Linked DNA regions of Sus scrofa. The protein of the gene in region 1 purifies or fractionates together with the protein of each later gene. This does not show direct contact. Links are inferred from orthologs where the notes say so. Each region holds a gene or a part of one and is shown in the gene's direction. Other genes may lie near its edges.

Evidence for each region.
Region 2: the proteins of KATNA1 (region 1) and KATNBL1 purify together in Homo sapiens (affinity purification with mass spectrometry; 3 studies listed by BioGRID and IntAct, counting the BioPlex papers as one, with this or other methods). This does not show direct contact. The link is inferred for Sus scrofa from reciprocal best matches to the Homo sapiens genes KATNA1 and KATNBL1.

Annotation. Positions count from the first base shown.
Region 1 is NC_010443.5:16,353,172-16,360,237, forward strand, and holds part of KATNA1 (katanin p60 ATPase-containing subunit A1), read left to right. Parts: intron 1-1,271; coding exon 1,272-1,377; intron 1,378-2,773; coding exon 2,774-2,932; intron 2,933-3,842; coding exon 3,843-3,969; intron 3,970-4,676; coding exon 4,677-4,811; intron 4,812-5,755; coding exon 5,756-5,882; intron 5,883-7,066. UniProt on the Homo sapiens protein: Catalytic subunit of a complex which severs microtubules in an ATP-dependent manner. Microtubule severing may promote rapid reorganization of cellular microtubule arrays and the release of microtubules from the centrosome following nucleation.
Region 2 is NC_010449.5:80,333,854-80,341,195, forward strand, and holds part of KATNBL1 (chromosome 15 open reading frame 29), read left to right. Parts: intron 1-2,952; 5' UTR 2,953-2,966; coding exon 2,967-3,083; intron 3,084-4,194; coding exon 4,195-4,235; intron 4,236-6,943; coding exon 6,944-7,223; intron 7,224-7,342.

The DNA of each region.
Region 1 (7,066 bases):
ACCACTGCGCCACGACGGGAACTCCCGCAGTCAGTTCTTAACCCATTGCACCACAGAGGGAACTCTGGCAGTCATTCTTATGCATGTGTGTTGCTGTTATCTTTAGGTTTATCTAATATATGTTGTTTTTATTTCCTATTACTCAGAGCAGTGGTTCTCTGTTAATATTATACCTGTAATTTATCACAGCGAGTTATAAAGCACTCTTTCCCACAAAGTTAGGTACATTCTGGTGTATATTTTTTAAAACTTTAATTATTTTTAGGTACATTTGGGGGGCATCTTAAAATATATTGTCCTATCATATATCATAATATATTAGCATGCCATGTGTACCAGTAGTTGTAGTAGTGGTTGTGTTCTAGTGGTTGGAGATGACTTCACAGCAGTCTCTATGGTGCTCTCTAACCTTGGTGTCTACCTCTTATAGCATTGAGGTCAAAGAGGCAGTTTTGCAGCCTGTGTCTGCTTTATGCCCTTTTTATTCTTTATGGTTTTTTAATAGGTTCATTATTTTTTTATTATTATTATTATTTTAGCTTTCTAGGGCCAAACCCACGGCATATGGAAGTTCCCAGGCTAGGGGATCAAACGTGCATCTTCATGAACACTAGTCAGATGTGTTACCACTGAGCCACGATGGGAACTCTTAGGTTCATTATTTTTAAATCATGGAGTTTGAGGAATGAGCCTTGTAAGAGGAGGAATTTATTTATTTATTTTTGTCTTTTTGCCATTTCTTGGGCCGCTCCTGCGGCACATGGAGGTTCCCAGGCTAGGGGTCTAATCGGAGCTGTAGCTGCCAGCCTACACCAGAGCCACAGCAACGCCGGATCCGAGCCGCGTCTGCAACCTACACCACAGCTCATGGCAACGCTGGATCGTTAACCCACTGAGCAAGGGCAGGGATTGAACCCGCCACCTCATGGTTCCTAGTCTGATTCGTTAACCACTGCGCCACGACGGGAACTCCCTAAGAGGAGGAATTTAAAGTGAGATGGCATCATAACACTTAAGGGTCGGCCGTAGACCTGTGTTCTCATCCACCAAGCTGAAAATCATTACTGCCAATAATTGAAGTCTCAGATAGGGCTCTGGCCATATACTGGTTGGCGTGGCAGGGCTCATCACGGGTGTCAGTTCACAAGTGCCTAGAAGAAGCGTAGCATTCTGTCAGTAGTGTAAAATTGTGTGATTCAGTGATTCTCAAAAATGACTACATGAGTTAAGCATATAACCTAAGCTTGTTGGTAAAATATCTTCTCTTTCAGGGATGATATTGCTGATTTAGTAGAAGCTAAAAAGTTGCTTAAGGAAGCTGTGGTGTTACCAATGTGGATGCCAGAGTTCTTTAAGGGCATTAGGAGACCGTGGAAAGTAAGTTTACCACTATTATGGCATCGTCAAAGCAAATGGCAGGTGCATGGCTGTAGAAAGCCATTATTTATCTGTATTGGGGTAAGTGAGAGGAGAAAAGAGTAGGTAAAGAAAATTTCAACTTGAAAACTATATTGTGTTATTCAGAACTTTCGACTGAAAGCTATTGCAAGGTTCCCAGAATAAGAAACAGGTGGAGTGAGGTCTTTGGAAAGTTGGACACACAGCAGATTTATAATGAACTTATATTTGCAAATATGAACACGTTGCCTAATCCAAAAATAATCCATTTTATGTGTCATGTTGTAGAACTTATATCTGTATTTCTTGGAATTGTTCTTAAGAAATTAATAAGACATATTTGGATCTCATGAGTACTTTTTTTTTTTTTTTTTTCTTTTGTCTTTTTGCCATTTTCTTGGGCCGCTCCCGCGGCATATGGAGGTTCCCAGGCTAGGGTTCGAATCGGAGCTGTAGCCACCGGCCTATGCCAGAGCCACAGCAACGCGGGATCCGGGCTGCATCTGCAACCTACACCACAGCTCACAGCAACGCCGGATCCTTCCCCAACTGAGCAAGGGCAGGGATCGAACCCACAACCTCATGGTTCCTAGTTGGGTTCGTTAACCACTGAGCCATGACGGGAACTCCTCATGAGTACTTTTTAAAAACCATGTGCTGGTCCAAAAAAAGACTCTCCAAAACACTCTTGGATTTGGGAAATGTGCTAATGACTAACGCTGTACATTGATTGATTGATTGGTTGCTTTTTAGGGCCACACCCACGGCATGTGGAAGTTCCCAGGCTAGGGGTTGAATTGGAGCTGTAGCTGCTGGCCTACGCCACAGCAACTCGGGATCCAAGCTGTGTCTACCACAGCTCACGGTAACGCCGGATCTCCGACCTACTGAGCAAGGCCAGGGTTGAACCTGCATCCTCATGGATACTAACTAGTCGGATTTGTTTCCACTGCACCACCATGGAACTCCCTGTACTTATTTTTTATTCTTGAAATGTTCAGTGAAAAGCAGAATACAAAATTATAGACCTACTTTGAGTCCAACTAAGTAAAAAAAACAGTATCTAATTTGTTTGAGTGAAAAGACTAGTAGGAAATGGATCCAGATACTAATGGCACCTGTGTTAGGGTATGATATAATATCAGTACATTAATACTTATTATATTTCTTCTCTTAGTTCCAGATTATTAATAATAATGTATGACTTCCTTGCCTTTATAATGGAAAAATTACATTTGTGATAAAGTATCCTTCTTTGTCTTTTGTCCTAATATTATGTGTAAGTTGGTTGAAAACTGATCCTTAGTAATGGAATTCCTGTGAATTAGAACAATGGTGGATAAATCTTTTGCTGATGCTCTTCTATTTCCAACAGGGAGTGTTGATGGTGGGCCCACCTGGTACAGGAAAGACCCTTCTCGCCAAAGCGGTGGCTACGGAATGCAAGACAACATTCTTCAATGTCTCGTCATCAACCCTGACTTCCAAATACAGAGGAGAGTCTGAGAAGCTTGTTCGTCTTCTGTTCGAAATGGCAAGTGTTTGAGACGGCGCTAATGATTCTTTACTACTAAAAGGGGAGAAAGTGGAGTTCCCTTGTGGCTCAGCAGGTTAAGGATCCAGTGTTGTCACTGCAGCAGCTCGGGTCACTGCTATGGCACGGGTTCTGTCCTGGGCCTGGAAACTTCCACAGGCTCTGGGTGCTGACAGAAAAAAAAAGAAAAGAAAAAGAAAGAAAAATGAATGTAATTAAACTTTCTTAGAGGGAATCTGTGTGATTTTATTTAAGGTAGTGGTTCTCTTTAACAAATTTTTCCCTGGAACTTCAGAACACTTAGCAGTGTCTGTAAATGTCTTCCCACCATTGTTATCCCTGTCACTGTAGTATACAGATAATCCTGTATTCCTATGACTCCTAAACAAATAGATAGAACCAGTTACAGTATTCAATAGCACAAAAAGTGCCATTAATATTTAAGTATATAATAAGTCCACCTTAGCAGCTGTAATTTAGCTTTTCCAGCTCTGTCTTCCCTCCCCAGTATTAGGACAAAAGAGACAGCTGCCCAGTGTGGCAGACTCCTGAGCTGTTTTCTAATTGCTAAACTATAGGTTACTTTTGGGTTTGGGGGGTTTTTTGTTTTGTTTTGTTTTGTTTTTGCGTTTTTAGGGCTGCACCCGAGGCAGTGGAGGTTCCCAGGCTAGGGGTCTAATTGGAGCTATAGCCACCAACCTACGCCAGAGCCACAGCAACGCCAGATCCGAGCCATGTCTGTGACCTACACCACAGCTCACAACAACACCGGATCCTTGACCCACTGAGCAAGGCCAGGGATCGAACCCGCAACCTCATGGTTCCTAGTCAGGTTTGTTTCGCCTGCGCCACGACAGGAACTCCTATAGGTTACTTTTGAATGAAATAAAAACCTGGTTTCTTTCTTTAGGCTCGATTTTATTCTCCAGCCACCATATTTATTGATGAGATAGATTCCATTTGCAGTCGCAGAGGGACTTCTGAAGAGCACGAGGCAAGCAGAAGGGTGAAAGCCGAGCTGCTGGTTCAGATGGATGGTATGCATGTGTATCTGCGTGAACTGACTGAGCTCTCCTCCTAGTGCCAACCCACACATCCAGATAACGGGAGGGGCTGCCAAGTAGGTCCTGGAGATGGACAGCGGTGACACACCGGAAATAATGGCTCTTCATTCATAGGACACACACACTGATCTCATTTTTAGCCATGAAATTGAAATAAATGCAGATAAATTGGCCTTAGAAAGGGAGATGTATGGTTTTGGTTTTGAATAATTTTTTAAATTGCTGTGTAACTAAGCTGAACTGGCCTTTTTTTTTTTTTTCCTTTCCTATTTTGGCTGCCCCATGGCATATGGAGCTCCCTGGCCAGGTATCAGATCTGAGCCACAGTTGTGACCTATGCCACAGCTGTGGCAATGCTAGATCCTTTAACCCACTGTGTCGGGCTGGTGATCAAACCTGTGTCCTGGCACTGCAGACAGGCCACCAAACCCCTTGCATCACAGTGGGAACTCATGAATTAGTCTTTTGATTAAAACTATTTTAAGTCATGTTTTTCGCATACTTACAAAAACTTATGCTTCTCAGGACCACAAATTCATTTATGTACTAGTTAGCTTTATTAAGTCTTAAGGAGGCTTGATGATTATACTCCTTTTATTGTTGTGCTAAGTATCTGATGATCTTTAAGTAGTTGAGCTTTGTTTTGTGTCTGTTTTACCATATTCTTACCCTTCGTTAAGGTGTTGGAGGTGCTTCTGAAAATGATGACCCTTCCAAAATGGTTATGGTTCTGGCAGCTACTAATTTTCCCTGGGATATTGATGAGGCTTTAAGAAGACGTCTTGAAAAAAGAATCTATATCCCATTACCATCAGGTATCTTCATTTGAATCAGAAAGCTCATATTAACTCTTAGTTTTGCTTAGAAATTAAGAATTTTGGTATTAATGAACTTTTTTTTTTTTTTTTTTTTTTTTTTGTCTTTTGTCCTTTTAGGGCCGTATCTGCGGCATATGGAGGTTCCCAGGCTAGGGGTCGAATTAGAGCTGTTGCTGCCGGCCTACGCCAGCGCCACAGCAATGCCAGATCCAAGCCATGTCTGCAGCCTACACCACAGCTCACAGCAACACCGGATCCCTAGCCCACTGAGCAAGGCCAGGGATCAAACCCACAACCTCATGGTTCCTAGTTGGATTCGTTTCCACTGTACCACAAAGGGAATTTCTGAACTTTCCTTTAAAAGACAAATATAGGATGTCTTTCCTTATATTAACTGGTTTGGCTATATCTGGAGCCTAAAGCCTTGATACTAGGGAATTTAAAATTCAGTAAAGGAGTTCCCATCGTGGCACAGTAGTTAATGAATCCGACTAGGAACCATGAGGTTGTGGGTTCGGTCCCTGCCCTTGCTCAGTGGGTTAATGATCCAGTGTTGCTGTGAGCTGTGGTGTAGGTCTCAGACACGGCTCGGATCCCGCGTTGCTGTGGCTCTGGCGTAGGCCGGTGACTACAGCTCTGATTCGACCCCTAACCTGGGAACCTCCATGTGCCGTGGAAGCGGCCCAAAGAAATAGCAAAAAGACAAAAAAAAAAGACAGATAACATTTAAAAAAAAAAAAAAAAAATAAAATTCAATGAAATAATTCTATTTAAAAAAATTAATTAAAAATTTTAAAATAAATTCATTGAGGAACAGCTCTTAAATTTTTGAAGCAAATAAGCTGTAAGAATTGGAAGACAAATTCTCGAGGTGGACTGGAGAAAAGTAAAACATTACTTACGTTGAAGGCTTACATTTTAAAATTTGTTTCTACCATTAGCAAAAGGCAGGGAGGAGCTTTTACGAATCAGTCTGCGTGAGCTGGAACTGGCTGATGATGTTGATCTTGCAAGTATAGCAGAAAACATGGAAGGTTATTCTGGTGCGGACATTACCAACGTGTGCAGGTATGAACTGTTTTGGAAGCATAGGCTTTTGTGGGTATAAACTCACAATAGTTTTCATGCTGAATTAAGATGAAGAATAAAGACCCATATTATAATCTAGTTAGAGACCTAAGTTTTGGTTTTAAGTTAGGGTCAGGTAGTGCTGATAGGTCATTTGGGTGTCTTGCATGTCAGTGAAGTAGCTACAGTTTAAAAGCTACAAGTTCAAGAACCTAATGTTTGAACAATTGGTGTAAAATTTAGAAAATAATTGTCTTGGATCAGAAAGATTCATGTTAGTGCATTCATTCAGCACACTGTTACACAGAAAATATAATTTGAAATAGGTTGATGTGGCATATTGAAGGGGAATACAATCTCGTTTTCAGTGAGTGTCCCAAATGTAATAGGAACAGCAGTAAAAAGGAAAGGCAGTCTCTAATCCAGCTGATTCAGGTAGGTTTTTTTCTAAGTATTAGTTCAGGCACCTATTAGCAATGTGTAGCAATGACTACACTGGTTTATTCATCTCTAAAGTTAAGTGTACCATGCAGGGCTGTTAAGACTAGCAATAACGTGTATGAAACAGCTTTGTTGCCGTCCTTTTGCACAAATGGTGACCGCTGTTAAGGATGAAACTGAATGAAAGAAAAGAGTTGAATCTGAAGTTTCTCCTTTAAGAAAAAATAGCACTAATACAAAGGGGGGAAGGGAGAGACCTCCTAACCTGATCAGCTTTTCTTACACATGTAGTAGGAAATATTTAATTTTTTTTTTTTTTTTTTTGTCTTTTTGCCTTTTTTTTTTTCTTGGGCCGCTCCCACGGCATATGGAGGTTCCCAGGCCAGGGGTCCAATCGGAGCTGTAGCCAACAGCCTACACCAGAGCCACAGCAACGCTAGATCCCAGCCACGTCTGTGACCTACACCACAGCTCACGGCAACGCCAGATCCTTAACCCACTGAGCAAGGCCAGAGATGGAACCCGCAACCTCATGGTTCCTAGTCGAATTCGTTAACCACTGAGCCACAATGGGAACTCCAGGAAATATTTAATTTTCTAGCTAACAGATTCTGTACTGTCTCTGTGATGCTCATTACTTTATGTTACACTTTTAATAAAATTCAGTTGCTCTCTTTATTATATCCTTTTACTTCTTGGGCTTTTGGCTCAGTGTCAGTTCTTTAAAATGAGTAGCATTTCAT
Region 2 (7,342 bases), on another chromosome or scaffold:
AAAAAAGTTATTTCTACTCTATACTATATGTAGTCTGGTAAGTGCAGTATCTGGTAAGTGCGCAGTATCTGGCAAGTGTGCAGTATCACATATGTACCTTTATTATTATTTTATTATTATTTTTTTTTTTTTGGCTGCATCTATGTCATGTGGAAGTTCCTGGGCCAGGGACTGAACCCCTACCGCAGTTGAGACTCCAGTTGCAATCCAAGCCACTGCAATGGCAATGCTGGATCCTTAACCCACTGCGCCTCAAGAGAACTCCTACATATCTTAATTTTAAAATATCTTATTGCTAAAAAAATCCTAACTATCATCTGAGCCTTCAGGAAGTTGTAATCTTTTAGCTGGTCAAAGAACTTGCCTAATGTTAATAGCTGCTAACTGATCAGGCGACTGGTTGCTGAAGATTGGAGTGGCTGTGGCAATTTCTTAAAATAATAGTGAAGTTTGCCACATTGATTGGCTCTTCCTTTTGCAAGCGATTTTGCTGTAGCATGCAGTGCTGTTTGATAGCATTTTACACACATCAGAACTTCTTTCCAGATTGAAGACAATCCTCACAAACCCTGTCACTGCTTTATCATCTAAGTTTTTGTAATATTCTAAATCCTTTGTTGTCATTTCAACAGATTTTCAGCTAATAGTCATAGCATCCTCACCAGGAGTAGAATCCGTCTCAAGAATCTATTTTCTTTGCTCAAGCAGAAAAAGCACCTCCTCATATATTGAAGTCTTATCATGAAATTGCAGAAATTCAGTCGCATCCTCTGGTTCTACTACTCATTCCAGTCCTCTTGCTGTTTCCACTACAGTTACTTCCTCCATTGGTCTTGAACCCCTCAAAGTCATCTATGAGTATTAGAGTCAACTTTTCCAAAATCCTGTTTATGTTGACATTTTGACCTCTTTCCATGAATCACAAATGTTTGTAATGGCATCTAGAGTGGTGAATCCATTCCAGAAGTTTTCCAGTTTACTCTGATAGAGACATATGAAATATATTTCTTAAGTAATAAGACTTGAAAGTTGAAATTACTCCTTGATCCATGGGCTGCAAAATAGATACTGTGTCAGCAACATGAAAATAACAGTTTCGTTGTATATCTCCATCAGAGTTCTGGGTGCATTGTTGATGAGCAGTGGTATTTTGAAAGGAATCTTTTTTTTCTAAGCAGTATGTCTCAACTGTGGGCTTAAAATATTCAGTAAACCATGTTGTGAACAGATGTGCTTTTATCCAGGGTTTGTTATTCCATTTATAGAGTACAGGTAGAGTAGATTTAGCATAGTTCTTAAGGGCCCAAGGATTTTTAGAATGGTAAATGGCCATTGGCTTCAACTTACAGTCTCCTGCTGCTTTAACCTTTAATAAGACTCAGCCTGTCCTTTGCAGCTTTGAAGCCAGGCTTGACCTCTCCTCTCTAGCTATGAAAGTCCTACATGGCATCTTCTTCCAACAGAAGGCTGTTTCATCTACACTGAAAACTGTCATTTAGTGTAGCCTCCTTCGCTAATGATCTTATCTATATCTTCTAGATAATTCATTGCAGCTTCTACATTAGCTCTTGCTGCTTCACCTTGTACTTTTATGTTACAGAACAGCTTCTTTCCTGAAACTTCATGAATTAACCTTTGCTAGCTTTAGACTTTACTTCTGCAGCTTTCTTACCTCTCTCAGGCTTCATAGGATTAAAGGGAGTTAGGGTCTTGCTCTGAAATAGGTTTTGGCTTAAGGGAATGTTTTGATTGGTTTGGTCTTCTATCCAAACTGCTAAAACTTTCTCCATATTAACAATAAGACTATTTTCCTTTACCATTTGTGTGTTCAAGAACTTTTCCTTTGTATTCACAACTTGCCTAATTGGTCCAAGAGGCCTCACTTTTAGCCTTCTCAGCTTTTGACATGCCTTCCTCACTAAGCTTATTGATTTCTAACTTTGATTTAAAAGGAGAGACTTGCTGGAGTTCCCTGATGGCTCAGTGGGTTAAGGATCTGACACTGTCACTGCTGTGGTGCATGTTTGACCTCTGGCCCAGGAATTCCCACATGCCATGGTGCAGCCAAGAAAAATAATACATAAATGAAAGGAGAGACTTACAACTCTTCTTTTCACTTGAATACTTGGAGGCCATTGTAGGGTTATTCATCAACCTAATTTCAGTGTAGTTGTGTCCTAGGGATTGGGAAGGCCTGAGGAGAGGGTGAGAGATGGGAAATAGCCAGTCAGTGGAGCAGCCAGAACATAAACATATATCAATTAAGTTCACCATGTTGTATATGAACACAGTTCCTAATGCTTGAAAACAAAAAGTAGCATCAAAGATCCCTGACCATAAATTATCAAAACAAATATAATAATGCTTGAAATATTGTGAAAATGACCAAAATGTGACACAGACATGAAGTGAATAAATGCTGTTGAGAAAATGGTACCAACAGACTTAATCAACACGAAGTTGCCACAAGCTTTCAACTTATTTTAAAAAGTGCCCCCCCCCCCAAATTTTAAAGCAGTTCCTGTCATGGTGCATTGGAAACAAATCCAACTAGGAACCGTAAGGTTGCAGGTTCCATCCCTGGCCTTGCTCAGTGGGTTAAGGATATGGTGTTGCCATGAGCTGTGGTGTAGGTTGAAGACGAGGCTCAGGTCTGGCGTTGCTGTGGCTTTGGTATAGGCCGGAGGCTACAGCCCTGGTTAGACCCCCTAGCCTGGGAACCTCCATATGCCGCAGGTACAGCCCTAAAAAGACAAAAACAAACGCACACAGAAAGTCACAATAACTGTGAAGTGCAGTAAAATGAGGTTTGTCTAAATCTTATCTGCTTTACTCTTAAGCCTGTTTTTCACATAGCATAGGGCTGGTATATTTTTGCATATGTGTTAAGAATGGGATCAGGGTCTTTTGGTTTTTTGTATTTTCCATTTATTATTTTTATTTTTTGTCTAGGTATTTAAGAGATTATGGCCTCTGAAACCCACAATGTTAAAAAATGCAACTCTTGTAATAATATTGAGGATCATTCCATTGATCTTCCTAGAAAAAGGATCTCTAATTTCACTAATAAGAACATGAAGGAGGTAAGTCCCCTGGTTTCTAGGAGTGAGTAAGACAGTATCTCAGTCTGTTTAGGCTTCTACAGCAGAATATCATAGACTGGGTGGTTCATAAAAGCAGAAATTTATTTCTCCCAGTTCCAGAGGCTAAGAAGTCCAAGATCCCTAGCAGAGTTGGTATCCAGTGACAGCCCACTTCCTGGTTTTTAGATGGCTGACTTCTCTCTACTTCCTCACAGTGTAGAAAGGGAAAGAGAATTCTCTGGGCTCTCTTTAAAATGACACTAATCCTATTCATGAAGTGTTTCCCTTGTGATTAATCACCTCCCCAAAGCCCTGCCTCCTAACACCATCACTCTGGGAGTTAGTATTTCAACATAGGAATTTTGGCAAGACAGAGAAATTCAGTTTGGCACAGACAGTTTAAACTACTAAGTCTATGCATGTTTTGGCTAAAGTATTTAAACAATGGGAGGGTAACAGTTCTGCTGAATGCTGCCAAAATTAAGTAGAATTATGAAATAATTGAAAACTCTTTATATTCCAAAAGCTCTAAAAACTTTTTGGCCAGTGTACTGACCAGTTTTGATATGGTATAATTTGAATATTTTAGTTTAATTTTAGAGGAATCGCATAGGTGCTATTTGCTCACCATTGCAAGGCTTATTAGCCCTGATATTATTTCTTAAAACTATATTAGGAGTTCCCTGATGGCCTGATGGTTAAAGGATCCAGTGTTGTCATTGCTGTGGCTTGAGTCACTGCTGTGGCACAGGTTTGATTCTTGTTCTAGGAACTTCCACATGCCACGGGTGCAGCCAAATATATATATACATGTAAATTCAACCCACTTATTAATAAGCAATCTGTAAGTACTTATTAATAAACACTCTGTAAGTACACAGTCTGTGACTAGGAGCATGGAAACTAGGAAGATGGACGTACTGCATTGTCAAAAATACCTCCATACAATGTTGTTGTAACTAATGATTCAGAGTACAGCATTAGAACAGTAAAAGCTTTAATCTGAAATTTTAAACTGTTGAATTTCATACCTGTTGATATCAGTCACAAAGTTTACATAGCCTTGTTGAAGAACATAAATATAATGCAACTATCTACGTTTATTTTTCAGGTTAAGAAATCTCCAAAACAGTTGGCTGCTTACATAACTAGGTAAGAGCTTCTTTTAAGTTTGGGGTGGGAATTCCCTGCTGATCTAGTGGTTAGGACTTGGTGATTTCACTGCTGCAGCCCAGGTTCAGTCTCTGTTCTGGGAACTGAAATCCTACATCAGGTTGCTGCACGCGGCTATGGCCAAAATAAAAAGGGGGTTTGTGGGAAATAGCAAATATTAAAAGCTGGATAAGAATGAAAATAGGGGAAAAAATATTCTCTTTCATTATACTAATATTAATTTATTTTCAAGCAGCTCCTTTGTGCCAGGCACTGTGCTAATAAACATATCAGTATTAGATAGATCAGTATCATTACCCCAAATAGTTGGTGAGGAAAACTAAGGATTTATGATTTCTTTAGGGTCGCTTATCCAGAAGTTTGTTAAAATGGCATTTATTCTCAGATTTGCCAAACTCTAAAGGTCCTTTCTGCTAAACCTCTGGTTCTCAAAGTGTGATGTGAGGATCTGGAGGTCGCTGAAGCCCTTTCAGGGAGTTTGTGAGGTCAAAACTATCTTTACAGTATTAAGACCTTATTCACCTTCTTCATTTCCACTCTTTTATAAGTGTACATTAGGGTTTTCCAGAGGCTGCATGATATTTAATATCTCAGTAGTTTGAATGCAGAAGCAGATATGAGAATCCAGCTGACTTCTGTTAAACCAGGTATTAGAGATTTTGTACAAATGTAAAATTGCACCAGATATTAAGAGATTTTTGCACAAGTGCCATTCTTCTCATTGTTTTTTGTTTTTGTTTTTTTGTCTTTTTCTTCATGTTTTTGGGGCTGCACCCTTAGCACATGGAAGTTCCCAGCCTACAGGTCAAATTGTAGCTGTAGCTACTGGCCTACACCACAGCCATAGCAACACCAGATCCAAGAGACATCTGTGACCTATACCACAGCTCACGGCAATACCGGATCTTTTAACTCACAGAGCAAGGCCAGGGATAGAACCTGCTTCCTCATGGATACTAGTCAGGTTCGTTACTGCTGAGCCACGATGGGAACTCTTCACCGTATTTTTTTTTTTTAATGGCCATTCCTGTGGCATGTGGATGTTCTTGGACTAGGGATTGAATCCAAGCTGCAGCTTAGACCTACACTGCCGCTACAGCAGTGCCAGATCCTTTATCCCACTGTGCCGAGCTGAGAACCGATCCTGCATTTCTGCAGTGACCTTAGCCACTGCAGTCAGATTCTTAACCCACTGCAGCATAGCAGGAATGCCTCACTGTATTTTTTGTTTGTTTTAGAAAATAAAGTTTTTGTTTGTTTGTCTTTTTAGGACCACACCCACAGTATATGGAGGTTCCCAGGCTAGGGGTCTAATCAGAGCTGTTGCCACTGGCCTACACCAGAGCCACAGCAATGCCAGATCCAAGCTGCATCTGCAACCTACACCACAGCTCATGGCAACACCAGATCCTTAACTCACTGAGCGAGGCCAGGGATCAAACCCACAACCTCATGGTTCCTAGTCAGATTCATTTCTTCTGTGCCACGATGGGAACTCCTAAAGTTTTCTTTTAATATTGTTAATATATAATGAGTTTATCATTTTTGATGAATTGATAAATTTTCTTAGTTTTAGTTTCTCATTCAGATATTGCCCACATAAAAAAATTCTTTTAAGACCCCAGTAATTTTTAAGAGTGCAAAGAATCCTGAGACCAAAACATTTGATAACCACTATACTAAATTATGAGATGTGCTTTATTATGTTTTATCTTATTCAGACAAATTAAGGACTTCCTTTGTGACTCAGTAGTAACAAACTTGACTAGTTATTCATGAGGTGTTGCCTTGAGCTGTGGTATAGGTAGTAGACAAGGCTTGGATCCAGTGTTGCTGTGGCTGTGGTGTAGACTGGCAGCTGCAGCTCTGTTTTTTTGTTTTGTTTTGGTTTTTTGTTGTTGTTGTTGTTGTTTTTTTTGCCATTTCTTGGGCCGCTCCTGCGGCATATGGAGCTTCCCAGGCTAGGGGTCCAATCGGAGCTGTAGCTGCCAGCCTACGTCAGAGCCACAGCAACTCAGGATCCAAGCCGCATCTTCGACCTACACCACAGCTCACGGCAACGCCGGATCATTAACCCACTGAGCAAGGGGCAGGGACCGAACCCGCAACCTCATGGTTCCTAGTCGGATTCGTTAACCACTGCGCCACGACAGGAACTCCTGCAGCTCTGATTTAACCCCTAGCCTGGGAACTTCTGTATGCCATGAGTGTGGCCCTAAAAAGAAGACAAAAAAAAAAAATTAAATATACTTCAACGTAATCAAAATAAGTGTTATCTTTTATTATGTATTACAATATATATTCAAACTTGAATAATTCAAATTAAAATATTCAAACTTAAACAATAATTATGTCACTTAGAAAAAGAATAAGTGACTAGAAATTGTTAGAACTTTCATATTCCCTGAATACCCTGTAATATTTTTAAAGCATCTAGTTGTTATGGCTGTTTGTTTTCTTTTGGTACAAAATATCCCTTTCATTGCTTTCCATATGGTTTGTAATTTGCCTTTTATTTTCCTCTTCAATCTAAGAGTTAAGATTTTTAAAAGATTATTCCCCTTACTTCTGATTTTAGTGAATTGTGATCACAAAATGTGGCCTACTAAATCTTTCTCTTTAAAAACTTTTAAAGCTTTTCACGTGTTTTTCTTTTTTTCATTTAAGAAAATTAATTCTTTTTACAGAACAGTTGGTCAAGCTGTGAAAAGCCCAGATAAACTACGTAAGGTGATCTATCGCAGAAAGAAAGTTCATCATCCTTTTCCAAACCCTTGTTACAGAAGAAAACAGTCCCCTAGAAGTGGGGGCTGTGACATGGCAAATAAAGAAAATGAACTGGCTTGTGCAGGCCACCTCCCTGAAAAATTACGCCATGATAGTCGAACATATTCGGTTAACTCCAGTGATTCTAGTTCGTCACAGACAGAAAGCCCATCATCAAAATATAGTGGGTTTTTTTCTGAGGTAAGTTATTTTGTATAAGCTTAACTTTATTTCTGTTATGTTATTGGCTTCTTCCTTTGCCATATTCTACTAGCAAAATAATTCACTGCCAGTTAATTTCAGACTATTTGAGAGATTGT